Linked DNA regions of Notamacropus eugenii. The protein of the gene in region 1 interacts with the protein of each later gene in a pairwise test. Links are inferred from orthologs where the notes say so. Each region holds a gene or a part of one and is shown on either strand. Other genes may lie near its edges.

What was found. The genes of interacting proteins can lie anywhere in the genome.
Region 2: the proteins of CALCOCO1 (region 1) and dual specificity protein phosphatase 13B-like interact in binary tests that used the Homo sapiens proteins (3 or more experiments, as listed by UniProt). The two-hybrid records come from large-scale screens. The link is inferred for Notamacropus eugenii from reciprocal best matches to the Homo sapiens genes CALCOCO1 and DUSP13B.
Region 3: the proteins of CALCOCO1 (region 1) and CWF19L2 interact in binary tests that used the Homo sapiens proteins (3 or more experiments, as listed by UniProt). The two-hybrid records come from large-scale screens. The link is inferred for Notamacropus eugenii from reciprocal best matches to the Homo sapiens genes CALCOCO1 and CWF19L2.

Annotation. Positions count from the first base shown.
Region 1 is NC_092874.1:226,679,224-226,687,163, forward strand, and holds the start of CALCOCO1 (calcium-binding and coiled-coil domain-containing protein 1), read right to left. Parts: upstream 3,014-7,940; 5' UTR 2,929-3,013; intron 1-2,928. UniProt on the Homo sapiens protein: Functions as a coactivator for aryl hydrocarbon and nuclear receptors (NR). Recruited to promoters through its contact with the N-terminal basic helix-loop-helix-Per-Arnt-Sim (PAS) domain of transcription factors or coactivators, such as NCOA2.
Region 2 is NC_092872.1:235,270,761-235,278,488, forward strand, and holds the start of dual specificity protein phosphatase 13B-like, read left to right. Parts: upstream 1-4,712; 5' UTR 4,713-4,801; exon of another isoform or gene 4,802-4,821; intron 4,822-5,886; exon of another isoform or gene 5,887-5,949; coding exon of another isoform or gene 5,950-5,972; intron 5,973-7,529; 5' UTR 7,530-7,548; coding exon 7,549-7,728. Other genes in the region: dual specificity protein phosphatase 13B-like, read left to right, coding at 1-15, 490-728. UniProt on the Homo sapiens protein: Dual specificity phosphatase that dephosphorylates MAPK8/JNK and MAPK14/p38, but not MAPK1/ERK2, in vitro. Exhibits intrinsic phosphatase activity towards both phospho-seryl/threonyl and -tyrosyl residues, with similar specific activities in vitro.
Region 3 is NC_092876.1:147,499,847-147,507,393, forward strand, and holds the start of CWF19L2 (CWF19-like protein 2), read left to right. Parts: upstream 1-4,531; 5' UTR 4,532-4,687; coding exon 4,688-4,780; intron 4,781-7,547.

The sequences.
Region 1 (7,940 bases):
AGCCCTGAGCAGGAAGTGGTACTGGAGCTGAGCCTTGAATGAAGCCAGGGATGCCAAGATGAGGAAGAAGATTCCAGGTACAGAGAACAGACCTCCTGTGTAAAGGCCAAACATCATGTCGAGGGAACGCTGAGAAGACTACTTTGGTCAGAAGGACATTGGGAGAAGTAATAGGTTAGATCTAGAAAGAGAGTTTGAAACCAAACCGGAAAGAGTTTAAGATGCAGGTGATGGGGAGCAATTGAAGCATCTTGAGCAGAGGAGTGATGAGTGAGGTCTGAATATTGATTTGGCAGTTTGTGTGGAGAAAGAACTAGACTGAAAGGAGACTGTTATCAGAGAGACCAATTAGGAGGATTCTGCAATAATTCAGGCCAGAGGTAATGAGGACCTGGAGTAGGTGGTTGAGTAAATACTAGGGGACATATGCAAGAAGTACTGCTGAGGTAGAAATGACAAGATTTGGCAATGAGTGGGATGGGGGCATAAGGGAGAGAGAAAAGAACAAAGAAAGACAGTGGTGACAGAAACAGAGAAGTCAAGAAGATGAATGGTTTTTTGGGGGGGTTGGGATGAGGAGAGATAGATAATGAATTCTGGCTTGGACATGTTGCCTTTGAGATGCCTATGAGCCATCAGGTGGAGATGTCCAGTAGTTAGGTGCTAACGAGGGGTTTAATGCTTCAAAGCTAACATCTTTCCCAATCTGTTTCCTCATACACAACTATACTAACTGCCAGACTTAGGGACCAAGGAATCTCAATTACCATGGTCCTAAGAGCATAGAACCCAAATATCATCACTCTTGGTTCTTAGAACCAAGGCATTCAGTCTTTCAATCTGCCCCTTTCAGTCTGAGGCTCACAGGTACTTTCCATCATTGAAGTCCCTGCCCTACGGAAGCTCAGTGCCCCTAACTCCACCCAGCCCTGCCCTTCAGCTCCAGGTTTCACATCTATCTGCTCACTCTTACTTTCTTTAATTTACAGCCCATTTCCATTGCTCCAGTTTCTCCCCCTGCCCCTACTTTAAGGCCTTAATTTCCAAAGCTTTTGACTAGGGAATTAAATTGCAGAAAGGGGTACTCTCCTTCCTAACCCCTCCCTGGAAATCAAACTGACCCCTTCACTCACTTCCTGGGGCTGTTGACACAGCTGCAGCTCTAATACTCTAAGGACAACTGAACAAGAATTAACCAATGGACAAGAATGGCTGAGTGTCCAGGACTAGAACTCCGCCTGGAGTGTCCAAACTGAAATTCTTATGCCCCTGAGTCAGGGGTCCCTCTTTCCCTCTCTAATGAATGTCTAATCCTTATAAATTCTCAGGAACCCAACTATCCCGACTCCTATTTGAGGCATAAGACAGAGAAAAGGTAGAGAAGGATTGACTCTATGCTGGGACTCCCTAAATATTACCCCATGAAGTTCAGGAATCCTGGAGGCGGCTGCTTCTGGGTGGAGTGAAACATCAGACAGGAACGTGGTGGGATGGGGGAGATGGAATGCAGGGGCCAGAAGCCAGGAACACCCCACCCTTGGGCACAGATGAGACTGTGGGGGGGGTGGTGGGAAGGTAAAGATTCATTTCCAGCATTAGGAGATGGAACAAAACCGACATCTCCTGCTTCCTGGACCTCTGACCTACCATCCCATTGGGATGCTTGACCTCCTGATTTCTTCAAACAGAATAAATCAAATCTAGCTCCAGAATAGACCAAGCCCTTCCCATTCCACTTTCTGCTGTTTTCAGTACTAAATGTTTCAGTTACTCCTCTGAAACTGATAGCTGCAGAACAGGGTATGAAAGCAGGAGTGTTCTGGGGGTAGAAGGGTAGGTAAGAGAAGATGGGATGTGAAGACTAGAAAAGAGAAACTATTACTCAGAACTTAGAGTCCTCCCTTTTCTGCCTGTTCCCTCCCATCTACGTCTGCAACACAGCTCACAGGGTGTCCAATCAGGAAACGCCACTAGTCATGTGCAGGCCCCAAAACATCACAGACCCATACTGGTTGGTGCCAGGAGGGGGAAGACAGGGCAGAGACTTTTAAAGTGAAAAAATAAATTTAAAATCCCCCCCCCAAACAAGCCCAGGAAGAAAGTAGCTGGGAGTACATCTGGCACTGGGGAAAGGGTTCAAAATTTCTCTGGAAATCAGGCAAAAAATTAAATGCAATATAACCCTTCTGACTCTTTAATTTATCTTTGGCTCAAAGTTAAGTTAAGTTAAAGTCCTGCTGATTCTCTACATTACCTTCAAGCAGGACATTTTTTTTCCTATACTCCTAAAGGGTTGGGGTAAAGGTGTGGGGAGCGGGGTTTAATTCCCAAGGATCTAAATTGGAGAAGTCTAGACAACTCTCTAACCCCCAACAAAACTACATCAAATCTGGGTTGTTCCTCCATGGCTGGGAAAAAATTAGAAAACCATGCACTGCATCATCACAAAAAAGGGGTGTGTGTGTATGTGATCAGATTTAGGGGCATCCATATGGGGAAGGTCCATAGATCCTCACTCTTGTCGCATGATCCTAGAACTTCCTAGTGCCCAGCCCATGGAGGGCAGAGAAGACCCTTGGAATTGATTTTGAGGGAGATGGCTGCTTTGAGAGCCGATGATCAAAAAGGGGGTTCGCCCTGATTTCAGCACCCACAGTTCCTCCCTACCGAACCTACCCAGTCCTTCCAGGTGAGTTACCCAAGGGGAGGGGAGAAGGCAAAGGGGGAGCTCCCTCCAATTTCAGGGAACCTCTCAAAACCCCGGCGCCCCTAAACAATGAGGGAAAACTGGGGGGGTTCTTTCCACTAAATGGTTAACCCTTTAAAAAGTCTGTTTCCCTAGAGTTCCTTTTCAAGGATTGAAAGTTGGGGTGAGACTCCATAAAATTCCCTTCCCCCAAAACAAGAATTAGGACCAAATTCTCTTACCCCACCAGGAGATCAGCTGTTCCCCTCACCTTTCACCAACAACAAAAACACGACTCTGCCTGAGAGAGGGGCGGGGGAGAGAGTTGGGCGCAGGGCCTTTCGGGGATTGTAGTTCTTTCTCCGCTTCCAGGCTTCAAAGTTTGCTGGTCTTAGAACTACCAAACCCAGAAAGCTGTGCGAAGCGGAGGGTGGAGAGGAGTGTTGGGATGACTAAGGCATGTTGGGATCTGTAGTCCATTCTTCTGCAGTGGCCAATGAGGACGCTTCCCCAGTAGAACTACAACTCCCAAAATTCCACGAGCGCAGGCGGCCTAAGCTAATTGGGTTGAGCTATTTACAACAATTTTTTTTGAGGGGGGGTGGGGTTGACTGTGGGCCTCAAGCTTGGTGGAGGGGGGAAGAGGCAGTGGAACCACGTGTTTTTGACCGACTAGGAAACTGGCAGCGGCGATAGCCTTGACCCAGTGGAGCAGTCCCCTCCCAGGCCTTACGCTTTCCATTCGGCTTCCTCTTCCTCCTCCAGTGTTTACAAAAATTCCCCTCCCAGTTTGTCTGCCACCTCCAGCCGCACATGTGAGACAGGGGAGTGGGGGCGGGGCTTTCGAAGAAAGTCCAATCTTAATGAGGCAACCCGGGCAGAGCTAATGCGCAGGCTCTGTTTGTGCTTTGGAAACTTGCATGCAAAGCTCTTGGCCTGGGAGGGATCGAGGGCAAGTTGTGTGTGGCTACGAGGTCCCTCCTAGTACCCTCTTGGCTTAGTTAGCCCAGTCCCTGGCACGTGTTAGGTGCTTCAAAAATGCTTGTTGACATAGCTGATTTGGGCTGGGACTTTGTACCTACCTCTTCTCTGGTTTCCTTCCAGACTGAGCTTAAGTCCTGTCTTCTGCAGGAATCTTTCTCAGCATCCACCTATGCCCCTAACCCTCTGCTTCCCTCTGATTTTATCCCTCCCACCCCTCAACGTTTTGTTTACACCAATATGTCTTGTACAGACAGTTATTTTTGTTGTCTCTCCCGTTAGAATGTGAGCTCCTTGGAGGTGTGGACTTTGTTTTTGCCTTTAAAAAATATCCCCAGAGCTTAGTCAGTCAATAAGTATTTATTTAGCACCTCCTGATCCAGGAACTATGCTAAATCCTGGGGATACAAAGAAAGGCAGAAAACAGTCCCAGTATGGTCAAACAACTCCCAGGCTAATGGGGGTAGAGGTGGGTACGGGGTGTGGGGTGTGGGGGAGAAAATGTGGAAACAACCATATAAAAACTAGAGACACATGCTTGCTGAAAAAGTCATGCCACAGGCTGGCTCACATCCTCTGCTTTTTCTAGGGTTCCAGACTCAACTTGGTCTTTCTTGCAATTCTCCTAAAAGGTTTCTACCCTAGAAAGTCACTTCACTCCCGGACTTCTCATATTCCAAGTCTGTCCACCTGTTTGGGGGAGAGGTGGGGTCCCTCTTAGAACTTCCCATTTAAGAAAGAGGCTCAGGTCATCGGTGTCTTTATTCCTCTCTAGGCTATAGTCCTAACTCTCCTTGACTTTCTCTACTATGACCCCTTGTCAGTGTCTTTTAAATGCTGCCTTTCCCCCATTTCACTATAAGCAACTTGAGAGCAGGGACTGTCTGCTCATTCCCAGTATTCCCAGTGTTTTGCATGGTGCCTAGCTCGCAATAATTACTTAATAAATGCTTATTGTTGTTGACTATATAAAATTGTGAGTAACTTCAGAAGGAAGGCACTAAAAATGACCAAGAAGGCTTCTAGCAGAATATGAAACTTTAGGTGAGACTTGAAGGAAGCCAGGGACAATCAAGAGAGAGAACTGAGGATCAGGAGCATTCCAGGCATGAGGGATAACCAGGGAAAATTCCCAGAGTTGAAAGATGGAGTGAGGCTGACAACTTTGCTCAACTCTGCCTACTTAAATCCAGTTCACACATGTCAAGACATCACCCTATGATGTCATTGGACCTCTTTGAGAACAAAGGACAGATAACAAGAAGAGTCGTAGAATAATGAGGAGATTTGTCATTGGAAGATTGGAAAGGCAGGAAGGGGCTAGATTATGAAAGACTTTGAACAAGTCATAGGATTTTATATGTAAAAGATCTTTGGAGCATACTGTCAAGCTACAGAGTTTGGTCTAAGAAAAGCAGAATTAGGCTGTATCCATGTCTATTTCTCTCACTAGATTGCCTAACATAGAGCCACCCTGCTCCCCTGCCATCCTCCCATGCAGATGGGAGTAACCTCCTTGGATTAGCTATGTAAGGGCAACACACTTCATCTTTAGAACTGACCAGATTGGGGCAGTTGCTTTTCATTCCTGCTGTGTCTGAAGGGTGAAGATTGAAGTTCACGAACAACATGGATGGTATGAATTGAACCTGTCCTAACACATATTTGATCTTGGAAATGATGAGAAGCCTCTTTTTTTTTTTTTTTAAATTGAAAGGTAGGGGCAGGAATATATTCATCAGACCTGCACTTTAGGAGATCCCTTTGACAGGTGAGAAGAGGAGAGACTGGATTGAGAATTGAGATAGGGAGACCAACCAGAAGACTGTTGTAATCGCGTGAAACAATAGAGATGATGATGATGACAGTGTCAGAGGAGAGAAGAGGGCGTATTCAAGATATATTATGAAGACAGAATGATAAGACTTAACAATGGTTTGGAGAAGTTGACCTCCTCACACCCTCAGCTGTGAATCTTGGTGACTAGGAGGATGGTGATAACATTAATAGTAAAAGGGAGGTTGGGTAGAGGGAAGGTTTTTTGTGGAAAGATAATGAGTTCAGTTTTGAATTTTTTTTTTGGATGTCTATGAGATATCTAGTTTGAGATGTCCAATAGGCAGTTGCAGATTTAAGTTTGGCTGTGAAGAGAGAGAGAAGTTAGGGTTGGACAAAGAGATCTGAGATCAATACTTAATAAATGCTTGCTGTTGACAGACACAAATGGGCTGATATATTTGCATTTACCCAAGAATCTCTAGATACTTGTAGACCTCCACTGTGTATGGGGAGTGAGACCTTGGGACCTAGGGAGAGAGGACTGTTGATCAAGGGTGGGCAGGTGAGTAGAGGTGAGGGATGGGAATTAGGTTAGTCATCCTGAAGCACACCTTCCAAACAAGCCAGTTGGAGGGTACTTGCCGCCAAAGTCCTGTAAAAGACCAAGTCCTAGGGGGTCAGTCCCAGTTGTAGTTCCGCTTTAGCTTTGGAGATGAGGGGCAATAACCTTTTAAGGCAATAACCAAAATCATTGGTTATTGGGGGACAGCTGAGCTAGTCTGTGACAGTCAAATGTTTTGTCAGCCTCCTAGTTGAGACTTTTTTTCTGATTTGCTTGTTACCTCCTGGTCACTGGCTTTAGTTCCCCTCTTCTGCCCCAAGATACAGGCTCTTATAAGATTTCCTTCATTATCTTGCTTTTGTGTCTGGGATTGGAGGTTTCTGGTACCTGTTCTCCCACCCCCGCCCCCTTTTCTCTGTTGATCTCCAGGCACTTAGCAACAATAAGTTACTGGTGCATAAAAACATTGGGTTATTACTTCTGTTTCCCAAATTAGAGTTTATGGGTTGGGGAACAAGCTGTAGGGATGAGGCAGATCATCTTAGTGTCAAAGGGTGTGAATCAAGGGCAGCAGCAGTTCAGAGATGCAGGTGTCCTTGTCTTTGCCTCTTCTATGGGCAAAGTGTAAGCACCTAGCAGTCCAAAAGACCTCTAGCACAAACTCAGCCTCAGTTGGAAACAAGGTGAACAGTCTCAGGGAGATGTTTTACACTTTTTAACTCTTGAGATCTGGGGAGAAAAGAAAGAGTGACCTCAAGGAGTGGGTGTTAAAAGAAAAAGACTTCTAAAATCAACAAATACTTGAGAGTGTTGGGTGTATAGAGTCAGAAAGACCTGAGTTCAAATCTGGTCTCTGACTTTTACTAGCTGTGTGATCCTGAGCAAGGAATTTAACCTCTGTCTGCCTCAGTTTCCTTATATGTAAAGTGGGGATAATAATAGCATCTGCCTCACAAGGTGGTTGTGAGGATCAAATGAAATAATACTGGTAAAGCTCTTCATAACACCTTAAAGCATATATGAATATTAGCTGTTATTATTATTATATGGTAGCTATTATTATTGTTACCTGTTATGTCTAAGACACTAAGAGCTGTCCGGGAGGATATTTTAGAAACATAATATATAGTTCTTGCCTCCTCTACAAGGTATGGGAAGAAGAAAATACCACATTTAATTAAGTGTGATGAAATCTAAAGACCACTGGATTTTGAGTCAGGAGAGCTGAGTTCAAGCCCAAACTCTGACAACCTTCTGTTTCCTCATCTATAAAATAGGGATAATAATACTCATAGTAGCAACATTGTAGCGTTACTGTGAGGAATGCGTCTAGTAAACAATGAATCATTATATAGGAATGTTGGTTATTATTTTTAATGACAGTAAGTGGTAACAAAATGGTAAACACATGCAAACATGTATTAAGCACCTACTGTGTGTACTATGCTAGGTGCAATGCTCAGATTGCTTGCAGTGCATCAGGAAAAAGATAATGAGCAGTACAAGAAAAATGAGAGGAAAAGTCAATGATTACTTTTAGGAGTTGAGAGAATAGAGGTCAAATTTTGATTGCACAAAATTGAAACCTTTTGCTAAAAACCAGACGAGAAATAATTAACTGGGAAAACATCTTTGCAGCAAATATCTCTGATGGAAGTCTGATTACCAAGATAATTTGATAATAAGGGAGGTGATAACAGCTGGGCCATCTCCAATTATCCTGTTCTAATCTGACCACTGGACTCAGATAGCTCTGGAGGAGAAAGTGGGGCTGGTGACCTTGCACAGCCCACCCTCACTTAAATCCAGTTCATCTCTAAGTCATGGCATCATCTGGTCCTCTTCAAGAACAAAGGACAAACTACACAACCACACAAGGTGATAATAACATATGAGAACAAGAGCCATCTCTTAATAGATAAATGAATATAT
Region 2 (7,728 bases), on another chromosome or scaffold:
TGGAGACCTCAGAAGGTAAGAGGGCAGGCTAGTGGGAAGCCCAGATCATATAAGCACTTCCCTCCACTCCATTTCTCAGGATCATGCAAAGATGATCAAGAACAGGAGTCAGGCTAGACTTCAAGGACCCTAGGGCCTGGGGTTTGGTGGGATTTAAGACCTATAGCTGCCCCAGCTTTTCTGTTACATTGGGCTGTAGGTTCCCAGTCTGTAAAATGGATCAAGGACTCTTCTTTCTTGTCCTTCCCTTTATACCCACTTGAGGCTGTTCTCAATTCCCCATCTTCATGGCTTGGTTTATTGAATTTGGTATCAAGAAAACCTGAGTTCAAATCCAGCTTTAGATACCTACTAGTTGTGTGACCCTGGGCAAGTCACTTAATATCTGTTGGCCTCAGTTCCTCATTTGTAAAAGAAGAGAATTGTACTTGATGGCCTCTAATTTCTAAATCTCCATTTCTAAATCTCTGATGCTCTGATTCTTTCCAGGGAAGGTGCTTGTTCACTGTGCCATGGGGCTCAGCCGCTCTGCTACTCTGGTCCTTGCCTTCCTGATGCTCAGGAAACAGCTGACCCTGGTAGAAGCCCTGAGGACAGTAAGTGTCCATCGAAACATCTGCCCCAATCGGGGGTTTCTTTCCCAGCTGCGTGACCTGGACCTCCAACTTAGCCAGGAACAGCAAAAAGGGAGCAGAGAGAAACTGATGCCACCCACCCCTCTGCCCTGAAAATAAAATGACTGTTTTTAAAAAATATCAAAGGTTTACTGACATTTCACTAGGTTCAAAGGGTCTACCAATGGGGTTATCTTCCCTTAAGAATGTATTGGAAGGGTGCAGATCTGAGAGCTAGGACTTTTTTTCATTTAGAACTGTGCACATGTGTACCTGTGAAGACTGAAGTTGGCAGGGATCAAAATGGTGGAGAGACACTGTGAGGTGAGATAGGAGAACTTTGCCAAGGTTCCCTTTGAGATATTTTGAGAGATTTTTCAAAGGTTCTAATGGGTTGGAGATGTGAAGACCTCTGAGCAGGTTCTGGTCACAAACTGAATTTCTGTTCAGGGTCCAGGAAATATACGATAGTCATTCCTCTGTATAACCTTTCCCAAAAGCCACTTCTCTGAACTCTAGGCTGCAAACAGTGGCCCATCCTTCACCTGGACAGAATTATGGGTCAGATTCTTACAGAAAGGACATCTAGCTTTTGCAAAGCATAGGCCAAGGAACTGGACTTCATTTCCTGGCAAAATCCTCCCAGGCTCCTTGCTATTTTCACCTGTGATGTGGCATCCTGAGGGTGAACACAGTCAACTCAGTGAAGATAGAGGGCATAATAAGCATTGACATAGCACCTACTATGTGCTAGGCACCATGCTTTACAAATATTATCTCATTTGAATAGCATTCAAGCTTCTCTCTTTCCACACTTTTCTTAGCTTTGCTCTCTGCTCATCTTTCTTTGTGGTACAACCAAGGGTAGAGGGGGCAGGGGAAAGGAGAGAAGGTGTAACAGACCAGGAAGGGACTGGACATCCAGGTGGCCAAGAACAGGTGGTCTGTTGGTGAGCCCAGTTTCCTTTCTCCATCACACCTCCAGTCCTAAGTGGTACAAGACCATAATCATGAGCCTTGTTCCATTTTGTTTTCTACCCTCTATTTCTACATACTAATAAAGACTTGAAAAGAATACCCACACATTTTTAAATCCCCTTGGCCAGAGATTAGCTGCTTACAGCCTTCTCCTGCATTCCTCCCACCCCCAGCTCCCAACAATCATTGACACATACCATATATATAGCTGAGGCTGTGGCTAGACTTGCCGTATCCTCAGTGTGCAGAGTTCTGATTATGGGTCAGAGGGGGTGGTGGCAGGTGGCAGGTGCCAGGACTGCCAGACAGGGCTCAGTCTCACACCCTTGCCATGCCATCATCTCTGCAACTTCCCCTCCTGGGAATGAACGGGACTGATTGCCCCGGGTAGGGTGGGTAGTAAGAAGAGGAGGGCGGAAGGGGGGGAAGCAGATCATGGTTTATAATTAAACACAAATCCAAAATAGAAGCAGCCTCAACAGAGCAGAGACAGGCAGCTGGGAACCTGCCTATTGGGAGACTATAGCCATCGGCTGGAACCAGGCTAGGCCCCCTCCACAGGTGAGTGCCTCCCCCTCCTCACCCCATTCTAGGCATGCCTCGAAGGGCACAGCCCCTTGGTAGCATGTGCTTGGGGGTGGCAGGGACACACGTGGGTTGTGGTAGCTGGCTGTGTGGGGAGAGTTAGAGCCACCTGACCCACACAGACAAATAGATAGGAGTCAGAGACAGAGGAAAACTGATAGTTAACAGTGTGACCCATCACCCTTCTCTTCTCAGCACAGACAAGACAATCCTGAGCTGTGTAATTATATGAGGATGGCAAAGGAACAATTAATTACACCTGAGAGGTAACCTGATAGTGTGGTATAGTGATTAGGGAGCCAGTATGGTATAAGGGAAAGCACACTATGTCTGTAGTTTGAAGTAGTGGGTTCAAATCCTAAGTCTGTCACTATCTTTAAATTATTTAAATTCTTCTAGGCCTCAGTTTCTTCATCTGTAAAATAGGGAGAGGCATTCATAGCATATCAGCTAGAGAACTGATCTTGAAGTCAGGACAACTTGGGTTTAAGTCCTTGGCCACGTGACCCCGGATAAGTCACTTAAACTCTTCCTGCACCAGGTGACTCCCTGAGACTGACTTATTGAGTTTTCTCACCTGAGAAAAACCTTTACCAAAGAAATCACCAGCTCAGTCCTCATCCTCCTCCCTCACCCAAAATCAAGAGAGAAGACTAGACCACTAAGGTCCCTTCCACCTCTGAATCTATAGTCTTCTAAGTGTGGGACTTGAGATAGGAAAGATCTGGAGTGGAATTGTTTCTTCTTAAGCGAGTGATCCTGGGCCAGTCAATTACCTCCCTTGAGTCTCAATGTCTTAAGTTAATAATGGATGACCCATGGGTTCCTCTGTTCTCAGATTTTTAGGGATCCGTGGGGGAAGGGAGGGAGCTTCTCAGATGAAAGATGGAGACAAGGGATGGGATTGAGGGTAAGAGAAAGGGAGCTGCCCAGGAGTGGCTGACCCTGGATGGAAGGCAGCATTTCTTTCTACCTGTGAGAGAGAAGGTTGTAAGAGCCCTCATGATTTCACTTTTTTATATCAGGGGTTCTTAACCCTTTGTATGTGCGTGTTTCCTGGACTGCTTTGGAAGGATCTAATGAAGCCTGTAAACTCCTCAGAATGTTTTTAAATGCAGAAAATAAAATACATAGGATTATAATACTTATGCATAGGATTAAAATATATAAGATTCAATACTTATCAAACTATTAAAAAAAAATCACTGACTTCAGGTTAAGAATCTCAGAATAAATTTTCTCTTTTGAAGCTCTTTACAATTTTATCCTCCCCTAGGCTAGATTGGATTATTTTCTATAAGCACAAATCCTGACCCTTCAGCTCCCCCAGACCAAAAATCCCAACAGAAATGACTTGGATCTGGTCTTAAGACAAGGCAGAGGCTAGGAGCAGGCCAAAAGCAGCCCAGGGCAAACAGCAACCAGTGTAGAGATCTGCCTCTGTATTTGTTTGCCCCTGGAAATCCAGAGCCTCAGTGCCAACAGGGTAGAGGGGGTGGGTGGGTGGGGAAATATCCCTTGGAAGAATAAGGATTCCCCTGTTATCCTCATCCCTTCTCACCCTGATCAGGGTAGTCCCTGGAAAGGATCCCTAGGATCCTTGATTTGTAATTAAAAGGAACCTTACAGGCCAGAATTAGGGATCTTGAACAAGAAAGGACTTCAGTAGCCATTTTACAGATGCTGAACTGAGAAAGTGACTTGCCCAAGGTCTTACAGGCCACAAAAATTAGAGACCAATTTGAATCCTCTGTTTCCCTGGGCTAGGTTAAAATGATTTCTCTGGTGAGAAATGGGGAGGGCCTCTGAAGCTGTCCAGGATTTCTCTGCTCAAAAATCCTTTCTGCAGCGAAAGGTGCTAAGCTGTTGGTTGAAGTGAGTGTCCCAGGGGAAGGAGGGTTGTTGTATTGTTTAAAGGTCTTCTTGGGTCTGAGATATTGGGGTTTCCATGCAGTTGGGCTGCAGAGCATGGGGTTGGCCACGGGAGGGTAGTCTTACCCTATGTTTGATTCTGGGAGGCCAGAGAAAGGCTTGGCAAAGGGAGAGTTGGGTGGGACCAGGTCTCTCCATCAGAATTATAGCAGGGAGACAGAGTGTCTGGATTCAGGGGGCAAGAGCTTCCTGAAAGCAGCCCCCAGACTCAACCTGATCAGAATCAAGGCTGCAAGAGCCCTGGGATGACCAAGCCTGGCCAATTGGCGGGGCCAGTCCCTGGTTACCTCCTGTTGTTGGTGGTTTGTTATTGGCACCCACTGTAACCTCCCTTCTTTCCTGCCAACACCCCTTCTCCGGGGCCCCTTTAAATGACATCATATGAGGCCGCTTACTCTGCAATCTGTCCTGGACTAGCTGATGAGTACATCGATGCCTTGAGACAGCTTGATGAAGCTGTAGCTCAAGACGGGCTCCTCTTCTGGGCAGGGATAGCTCAGGGCCTCCCTCCTCCCTCCTGCTCCCCCCTCCCCCCCCAGAAACTTCCATGTCAACCAGCTGGAATTCTAGACGCTTCACAGCATCTGTGTTCTCAGATGGAACCTCCACCCCCTGTTCTGATCCCTACTGTTGAGTCCAGCACTGCCCTGGCCCCCAGAGCCTCCAGACTCAAGCCCTAGACCATGCTCTAGGTAGGTGGGGTCATATATAGGTAAGATGCCCATTATTGGGGAAGGGTTGGAGGTCTCTTCCAGGGTCAGGCAGTACTTCCGTGGGCTTGAGCTTAGTTCCGATTTTAACCTGTGAAATCTGCAGAACCCCACAGTCAGTGTTTCCTGGGAGTTCAACTCTCTGGGTCAACAACCATTTCTACCATCAGCTGGCTGTAGGAGTTTGGACAGGTCATTCAGGTTCTATAGGTTTCTCTTTACCCCTGCTGCCAGGTTTTAAGCTGAGATTATAGGCCTTTATCCCATCAAGTGGAAGATTTCCTCTTATGTTGTCCCATATGTGATTACCCTGAATGGGGGGGGTGGGGTGCTCTGAGAAAGAATGCACCACCTCCAACCTCCATCCCACATGGACTAGCCACAGTATGCAGGATGGGAGGTCAAAGCCAGAGGGACACCAGACCCTGATATATATGACCCCATAGCTTTATAAGCTCCAACTTCCTTAGGATTTCTTTGTATAGCTAGCTATCCAGATAACCCACTTTCCTGGACAAGATACAGCCAGTGTCCCCATTTCTGTGCCCACTAGGGCCCTGGAAACATACTCTGTCACCCCAGAATAATGGTTCTGGATACAGTTCAGGAATTTAAAGAAGGAGAGAAGGAAAGTTAAGGCTATGTCTAACCTTTCCTCTATCAGATGGGAAGGTTCACTGCTATCAGAGGTCAGGGTCTCAATGGGGAATTGAAGGATGGGAAGTTTATGACTATTTTCACCAGGAGTCCCAGGGGCAGAGTCAGCAAAGAACACCTGATACTGGGAGAGGAACCTGTAGAGTCCTGTGGTTACATCAGCCACACTCTTGGGTACGGCCCAGGTGGCAGACAGAGAATAGAATAGGACATTACTGTCCCTGCTCCAGGTAGAAGTCACTTCAGTTCCTAGCTGCTTCAGCCTCATGTGAGTGTGGTCCCCAAGCTTACCTGGGAAAATTGTGAGAAGGATTTGGATTCCCTTGCCTACCCCCTACACCCAGGGCCAGGTGCCCCTTGGGTCTAGGGACTTACATGCAAGTACTGTATCCACTATGTACTATGAAAAGAAGCCCAGGAGACAGCAAGCCTTCCATGTTTACTGAACTCTTCCAGCCTGGCTTATTTCCAACATGAGGTGGTGGACCTGGCCCAGGTAAAATTGGTTCTTGTTAAAATTGTGAAGTCACATCATTTTCTTTTAGACACCTTTCACTCAGCTTGTATCCTATCCTCTGAGTCTTGTCCAACTCATCAGCTAGTTGTCATAAAGGTTTAGAATGACAGCCTTAAGGTATCACCCCTCTCCAAGGCAGCAGACAAGGCTGCTACTTGGGAAAAGACTAGTACGTATTCCTACAAATAACAAATTATATACCCCCTTAATTTCCAAATTGTTCCTTGAACTCATTTCCCTTTATCTCCTAAATCAGGAGCAGCCTAACAATCAGAACAAGAACCCTGGTGTAATAGAAGTTACAAAGGAAGCTTATAGCTTTCCTTGACTGGTAGACCTTTTTTTTTCTTTTTTCTTTTAATAAAACAATACTTTGAAGTTCAGTTAATGGAAGACAGTATATATTCCATAGTAGTAATAATAACAATAATAAATTAAAAAAGTCATAGAATCACAGAATTTTCAAGAGGGAAGGGTCACATACTTAACCCTTTTCCCCAGGATGCTTATAGATCATGTCCATCCATTAAAATGAAGGAAAAACAATTCAAACTCCAAGCTAGTCCATTCCAATCTGACTCTCAGGGAGTTGGGACAAGGAAGTTGATTAGGATGGGAGGGACTGAGGTCCCTCCTTACTTCCAGATTTCTGGTCCTGTTTTGCTGAGGAAAGGGAAGTGGGTTTTGCTGAGGAGTACATTAGGGGAAAAATCACCTGTTCAATTTAATTCAGTACCTACTATGTGCCAAGTCCTGGGCAATCCAAGAATGATATTGTCCCTTGTCACCACTGCACTCTGCTATCCATGAGTAGGACTCTGGAAAAGGTCTAGAAAAGGTTAGCTTGACCTGTTTAGGCCCCAGACAAGTATGTGGCTAAATTCTGTAGCCAATGGGCCACAGTACTGAGATCCTGGGTGGCCTCTACTGGGTGTTAATGGGCAAGGAGGTGCTAGTCTATGAGAAGAAAGAATGGAAATCTAGCTTCCCTTGAAACAAACTGAGAGCCCTGAGGGGCAAGGGATGACATAAGCCCTGCAAGGGTCCCTTATCTCCTCTGTCTCATGGCTAAGCCCAAGCAAAAAACGCTGGGGAGGCATTGGGCAAGACCCATAGCCTTGCCTCTGTCTTCCTGATCCTAGCAAAATGATCTCTATTTGCCACCCAGGAAAGGCAGAGGTGAAGGAAAGAAAGTTGGTATGGAATTACATAATGGGAGAGAATTTTAAAGATCACCCAGTCCAACCCCCTTTTATACTCAGAGCCCCATTCAATTAACTAAACTCCCAACACCCATTCATTTTTCCCAAAGCCATTTCCCAACTCCCCTTCCATGGTTGATTATATAAAAGTCTCTCTTCTCTCATCTCTTCACTGCTAAGAGAGACAGATGTCTCTCACTCCCTCTATAAAAACACAAACAAAACAAAAAACCAGGTATCTTTCCTCGTGGTGATGGGAGAGACAGCTTTTCCTGGATTCTGGGACTTATTCCTCCTCCCCCCTTCCCTTCCACTTCCCTCCTCCCTCCCCCAGGGCCTGCACAAGGACAACAATGGGATGCCCTCCCCTGTTTTCCAGGATGGACTCACTGCAGAGACAGGACCTGCGGAGGCCCAAGATCCATGGGGCAAGCCGAGTTAGCACGCAGAACCTTGTCCCCTACCAGACACCCACCCTGGCCTACCTGCAGCGCCTGCTGTGGATTCGAAGGGCCTCCTCGATGAGTCACATC
Region 3 (7,547 bases), on another chromosome or scaffold:
GCTTTTTAAAAAGACTCTAATGTTTACCTCCTGGTGTAAGAAAGGGGCTAGAAAAGGTACCCTAAAAATTGTTTGCTTCACCCAACCTTATGCTTCTTGCTGGGGCAGGAAGGACCAGCTTACAAATGCTGAATACATAGTATCCTCTGTGAAGAGGAGCACCATGAAGTTGGCTTACATTTTGCAATCAGATCTAATCAGCAAGCTTTTATGCCTCCCAAAAGTAGTGAATAACACGCTCATTGAATGCAGCTGCCAGTTACAGGAAAATGCCATGCCACCATCATCAGAACATATCCTCTCACCAAGATTAATCTTGATAAGTTCAAAGAAAAATTTTATGAAGACCCTGGGTACCCTCATAACCAATGTGCAAAAAGAGGGCCAGCTTGTAATTCTGGGTGACTTTAATGCCAGAGTAGGCACAGATTATCAGATGTGGCAGGGAATCCTCAGGAGGATGTAGCACCAATGTGATATTCACAGTGCCTATAGCAGCCATGAATATGCCAGCACAATTCTGAATTGCGAAATACCACAGACTCTCCACATGGAAGACAGAGCAAAACATTTACTCAGACACAATAACAACGCAGAGGGCAGCACCACCCTAAAGCCTTCCCTCTTCTAGGCTTCCCACAAACCAGCTCCATTAGACAAATCACAAGTAGACTCCCTTAAACAAAATCACAAACAGGCTCTTTCACTCACACTAGCCAGCTGCCTGCTTGCTTGGATCCTTCCTAGCTCTGACTGCTCTGACCAATCTTTTTCTCAGCTCTGCTCTAGCTCTACCTCTTCCTGTTCCACCCTTCCTGCTCTACCCGTCCAGCAAGCTCCTCCCACAACATGTGACTTAGGCTTCCATGTGATTTAAACAGGTCACATGGACTTGTTAATAGATGGGAAAGATCTTCAAATTAAGCAAAATATTACACTAACAATAAGCAAAAATGAATTATCAATACAGAGGAACATAGCCAGAAATAGCAATATCAATGGTCATTTACTACTGAAGACTTGAGTGTTTCACAGCTTTCTCATCGTCAACACCGCCTTCTGTTTACCTACATTCAACAAAATGTTTTGGATGCACCTTTGTAACAAGCACTGACTATATCATTATAAGGGGAAGAGACAGGCAGGAAGTGAGAGTGATGAAGGTGATGTGTGGCACACAGTGCTGGACTGATCACAGACTTATCCTTTTAAAGCTAAAATTCCCATGCAACAAAAGTGGTGGCCCCAAGGCAAGACAACAGTCAGGAGACTCAACCTCAACAGATCAGAGTGCTTCTGCTTTCATAAAGTTTATTGCTGACCTGAAGGGAAAGCAGAGTCAGCAAACAGCAACAATGGAGCAGAAAAGGAGTGGGTAGCATTCAGAGATTTGGTGTATGGCACTGTATTTGCTCATCTGGGCCAGAACATTTGCAAACATAAGAACTGGCTTGACAAAAATGATGGGGAAATTAAAGAAGCTGTTAGACAAAAAAAGAGAACTCTACAGTGTTTGCCAGGAAGACTGTTCATCTGTCTCTAAGAAGGCAGTATTTAACTCTATCAAAAGTAAACTGAAATCAAAGCTTAGAGAGATGTTGGATTTTGAATTCAGTAAAAAGGGAGATGAGATTCAGTTTTCCACCAATAGCAAGTATCCCAAAGTGCTTCTATGATGCCCTGAAGATTATTTATGAGCCAAAGACCTCTGCTGCATCTCAAGAACTCAGCACTGATGGAGTCACACTGATTAGTGATAAGGATATGATCCTGAAGAGATGGGCTGAATTCTTCTATAGTGTTCTCAACACATCACCATCAACCAATGCTGAAGCCATTGGCTGTTTACCTTAGGTTGAAGTCAATCCCTCTCTAGATGAACTTCTAAATGAAGGAGTACTGAATGCCATTAGGCTTCTTTTGTGTGGCAAAGTGCTTGGCACTGATTCCATCCCAGCAGAGATCTACATGGCGGACAGGTTCACTGTTCATATAGATGCTGACTGAAGTCTTCCAGGTTATGTGGCAAGAGGAGGTTATCCCTCAGGAGATCAAGGATGCTTCCATTGTCCATCTCTATGAAGGAAAAGGAAACAGATTATCCTGTGACAGTTATAGGTGTGTGTTTATGTGTGTGTGCATGTCTGTGTGTGTGCGCGCGTGTGCGTGTGTGTGTCTTAGTCATTGCTGGCAAGATTCTTTCCAGAGTACTCCTTAATTGGCTGATCCTTCATGTGGAAGATAGTCATCTACCAAAGAGCCAGTAAGGCTTCAGAAAGGGCAGAGGAAACGGCATTATTGTGTTTGCTGCCCAACAACTCCAGAAGACATTTCTGGACCCAGTGTTTGTCGACATGACCAAGACCTTTGAAACTTTGATACCTGATACAAGGCCTCAGTCATGAGATCTTATGGAAGATTATGTTGAACTTTGGCTGCTTGGAGAAGTTCATCAATATTGTACACCAATTTCATGATAGCATATTTGTGTAAGTTCTTGATAAAGGACAATACTCTCATGCTTTCCCAATTATCAGTGGAGTGAAGCAGGTTGTGAGCTTGCTCCCATGCTTTCTTAGCATTGTTAGCATTTCAGCAATGATGTTAGATGCCTTCAATGAGGGAGAAAACAGCATCAAGGTCAGCTACTGCACTGATGGCAAATTCTTTAACTTGAAAAGGCTACAAGCTAAAACTAAAGTAGAGGGAGAGTTGGTACACAACTTTTTGTTTGCAGATGATTGTGTACTCAATGCAGACTCTGACGCTGAGATGAAACAGAGTATGGATTGATTATTTGCTGCTTGTGCTAATTTTGGCCTGACAATCAATACCAAGAAAATAGAGGTTCTCCCACCAGCCAGCATTTTTCCATCCATTCATGAAACCGTTGGTTAACAGTGAATGAAGAAATTTTTAAAAAATTATTAATTTATTTATTTTCAGTTTTCTATAATCACTTTCATAAGTCTTAGATATTTTCCCCCTCCCTCCCAAGAAATTTTCTATAGTGTGGGGAAATTCACTTACCTTGGTAGTATACTTTCCAGGGATGTTAGGTGATGAGGTTGATGCATACAGACATTGCCAGAGTTAGCCCAGTGTTTGGGAGGCTCCAAAATAAAGTATGAGAGAGAAGAGGTATTAGGCTACATACCAAACTGAATGTCTACAGAGCCATTTTGTGCTGACCTCATCACCATATGACTATGAAACCTACCTTGTGTACCAGTACCATGCCAGAAAAGCCAACTGTTTCCATCTGAATTGTCTTAGATAGATTCTGAAGATTACCTGGCAAGATAAGGTATCAGACACAGGTCCCTGAATTATTGGCATTACAACTCTATGGCAGAAAGTGTAACTCCAATAGGCTGGTCCTGTAGCCCAAATGTCAAACATATGTTTACCTAAAAGACTATTTGGCTGAGAAGTCTTCTAAGGCAAGCACTCACATGGGGTCAGAAGAAGTGGTACCAGGACACTCTCAAGGTCTCTCTGAAGAACTTTAGTATCAAGTGAAACATGGGAGACCCTGGCACAGGACTGCCCGGCATGGTATACCTGCATCAAAGAAGGCTCTGTGCTCTAAGAACAAAGCAGAATCACAGGAACACAAAGCAAATATGAGAGGTACAGATCTAGAAAAAGCCATCCCAAATGTTCAAATGGCCTATTTGTAGTTGGAGCTGTGGTAGAGAGAGTCTTGTGAGCTCCCATCGGACTGATCAGCCTCAGTCAACACGCTGTACATCACTGTGCCCAACAGAGTGATGTCATTGGTACTCCACAACAACAACAAACACTGTGGGAATTAATTTTCTTTGTATAATTCCTCTGTGTAATTAGTAATAATATAATTATTCTCTGTATAATTAGTGGTGAAAATGGGAGTTTTTTGAGGGAGGCGTGATAGTGGGTGGAGAGGAGTTGATGTCTAAAACTTTGGCAGCAGAGCGCAGCGTGGGGAAGCTCTAGGTCAGAAGGGGGGAGGGATCCCCAAGGTCAGAAGGGGGGAGGGAACCCCAAGGCTAGAAGGGGGGAGGGATCCCCAAGGTCAGAAGGGGGGAGGGATCCCCAAGGTCAGAAGCGGGGCTCAGAAGTTAGGGGTGAGCAAGGGCTCGGAGTCAAACTTCATGGTTTTGCGGAGGGTCGGTTACTGATACAGGGGTGCCCCGGCTGCGAAAGGTGAAAAAGAGCATCGACTTTCCATAGCGAGCAGTGAGGTCCATGGCAAGACAATCACATTCTCGGGTGCCCGGTGGCATCATCCCTTCCGGTAACAGCCTCCCTTTAATGCTAGCAAACCTAGCCCAGAGGTGAATACGCGGTGTCCCAAAGGTCTCACAGCAGGTGGGTCAGCTGACTAACTCCTTTCTCCACCTGCATTTGCCTTCTCCTCCCAGGATTTAGCTAGACTCGAGGGAGGAAAAGACCCCACTCTTGGAGAGGGAGAGAACAATTCCTCGCGCGCATACCCAGGACTCTGAAGTTCCAACTCTCCTTCCCATAGGGCGCCCCGCCCCTCTCCGTCCCGCCCCGCCCCTCTCCGTCCCGCCCCTCCCCTCTCCGTCCCGCCCCGCCCCCAGGGACTCCTGAGAGCGACGAACCGGAAGGTTCGCTTTTACGACTGTCGTAAGCCGACTTTTACGACGGTTGCCTTGGGAACTTTTCCATAACAACAACGATGGCGGCTTCCGGTGGTCGGTTTGAAAGCGCTAGGAGCATCGAAGAACGGAAAGAAGAGAAGCGGCAGGCTCGGGCCGAGGTCCTGCGACAGGTATCTCCGTCTCAGAGCATCCTTGTACCGTCGTTCCCTGTGCCCAGGGCGCTGGGGGTCTGGGGAGCCACCCCTCCGGCCACCGCCTGCTTCCTCCCTGTCCCCACGCTCTCTTAGGGGCCGCTCTCAGGCCTTCCCGTCCGTCAGCTCCCACCCCGAAAGCCCGCGGTCGCCCCCGGTCACCCCCGGGGTTCTCGCCGTTTTAGACCATTTAAGCTCAGACCTCACTAAGGCTTGTGGGGACCCCTGATTTCAAGTCCCGCTTACAAGTACAAGTGTTGGAGCGTACGGACAAGAGGCCTAGAAAAGGGGAGGAAGGCTGCCCAGGGGTTCAGGCCTCGCCTCCTTTTGCTGTCGTTCTGGCGAGTTTTTGCGATCCAGTCCCATTCAGCGTCCTCTCGCCTCCCCAGCCTCCCCCCAGCTTCTCCCCTTCCCTGTTTCTCTTCTCTCTTCTACCCTTCAGCTTCCTTTCCCTATTTATGGCCTTTTCTTCTGTCTTTCTCCTCTTAACTGTTTTCTCCTTATCTTCCTTCTCTCCAGAAGAAGACGATTTGTGTAATGCGTATATATAGTCAAGCAAAACAAACTCCATTACTGTCATATCAAAAAAAAAAAAAAAAGATCTTTCCCTGCATTCTAAGACCATCACTTCTCTGGGCTCCCTCCCTAGCCCTCTCCTACATTTGCACTATTTTCCCTGCCCTAGAAAGTTAAGGATTTCCCGGACCATGGGGTAGGCGTCCTGATCACCTTTTTCTTTGTTTTTCTTAAGCTGTCAGATATTGAGAAACTGCACCTTCAAAAAATGTTGGATGGAATAGACGTTGTGAAGCTCTTTAATTTTTCTGAAATGGAGGATGGACAGAAAGATTCTGAGCACTAAATACATCGATTGTCTTTGTGAATTTGTGAAAACTGGAAGTGCCAGTTTTTCCTTTGGAATTTTAATCTACTTGTCCAATATTTTTTTTCCTTACTGAGTTTAAATTTCCCTCAGATAAAAGTGTATTTTGCAAAAAAAATTTTCATTTGAGATAGTCATAAATGGGTGAATATATAAATTGGAGTTAAGTAAGAGAGCGTTTCTGAGCAGTTCCATAGATTTTTTAAGAAAAAAAGTTATTCTTCATTTTATTACATGGTAAATTCTTGAGGCTGTGCCTCAGTTGAAGGTTCAAAAGATTATGAGAGTTTTGTATTTCTAGGCTGAACTAGGAAAGATATCTAGATTAGCTTTTTCAAAAGTCAGTGTGGTTTTGCTTAATCACATTTGTAGAAAATAGGTATTACTGTTTCTTGCTCTGTGAAAATTGAACCTGGAAGAGGATTTGAGTCTTTTCCCCCCTCTTTTCCTCTATGCCTCTCTTGATTACTTGTTGAAATGGTGCCATTGTTGCTATGGTTATGATTTTGAGGATAAAAAATAATAATAGCATTTATGTGTCATTTTAAGATTTACAAAGAGCTTAGAAATTAGGAGGTCATAGGATTTAGCAAGGGAAGAGACCTTGTAGACAGCCCAAAACTCTTATATTACAGACAAGAAAAAGAGGCCTAGAGAGGATAAATAGAAGAGACTGAATTTGAATCCAGATCCTTTGACTCCTGTTTTCTGCTACAACAGTAGTTTTACTTGGTAGGCACAGTTATATTGACTTTCATATTTTTTTATGTAGCAGCATCATGCTTGATTAACTTAGTTTTCTTCTCAATGTCATTGTGAAATAGCTTTTACCTCTTTTATTGCTACATGCTAAAGGAACTCCATCCACTTCAGTAAGCATTTATGTTCAAATCACTGTGTTAGACGCAGTGGTTAAAACAACAACAAACAAAAAAAGTTACATAGACGAAAAAGGGCACATACCTATCATCACATCTATTAGGGGATGGAATGGGGGGGAGACACAACATGTAAGAATAGACAGCAGATAAGTACAGATACAGATACAGTGTAATGGAAAGGAGGACACATTAATTACTGAGGGAATAGGAAAGAGTTTTTTTTGTTAGAAGTAGTAAGTACTTAAGTGGAGCTTTGAGCCTTAAAATGAGGTGGAGCAGAGAAGGAATGTATAACCTGTGTCAAGAAAGAGAGATGTAATGTTACAGACAGGAAACAAATACACCCATCTGCCTGGAATGTTGGGTGTATGAGAAGAAATATGAAGTCAGTTTGACAGAAGATAGAGCCAGAGAAACCTCTGATATTTGTTTGACTCCTGTTCTTTAAAAACTTTGGAAGTCTTTGTAAATAGGCATAACATGACACTATTTGAATTTCTCATGTTTTCACCTCTTTGTATGTATTGAAGAACTCTAGAATAAACAAGTTTATTTAGGTTAAAATTTTATATTACATACACCTTTTGTTCAGAAATCTGACTTGCCTATTGTTCATCTTGGTGATTTATATTATTTTTAGTGAAGAGTTTACACATTGATATTTAAACATCTTTGACTTTTTTGGCTGTTTGAATTCTGGTTATACAATGGAGAAAGATGTTTGTGGAAGAATGACAGATACTAGTACAAAATTTTGACAGTGTGGACTTACCAAAAGATAATCTATTAGATGTATTATTTGTTGAGTTGTGTATTGATTCAGCCATTCTGGAGAGCAATTTGGAACTATTCCCAAAGGGCTATAAAATCACGCATACCCTTTGACCAAGCAATACCACTACTGGGTTTGTATACCAAAGAGATAAAAAAGGATAAAGACCCATATGTACAAAAATATTTATAGTTGCTCTTTTACTGGTGG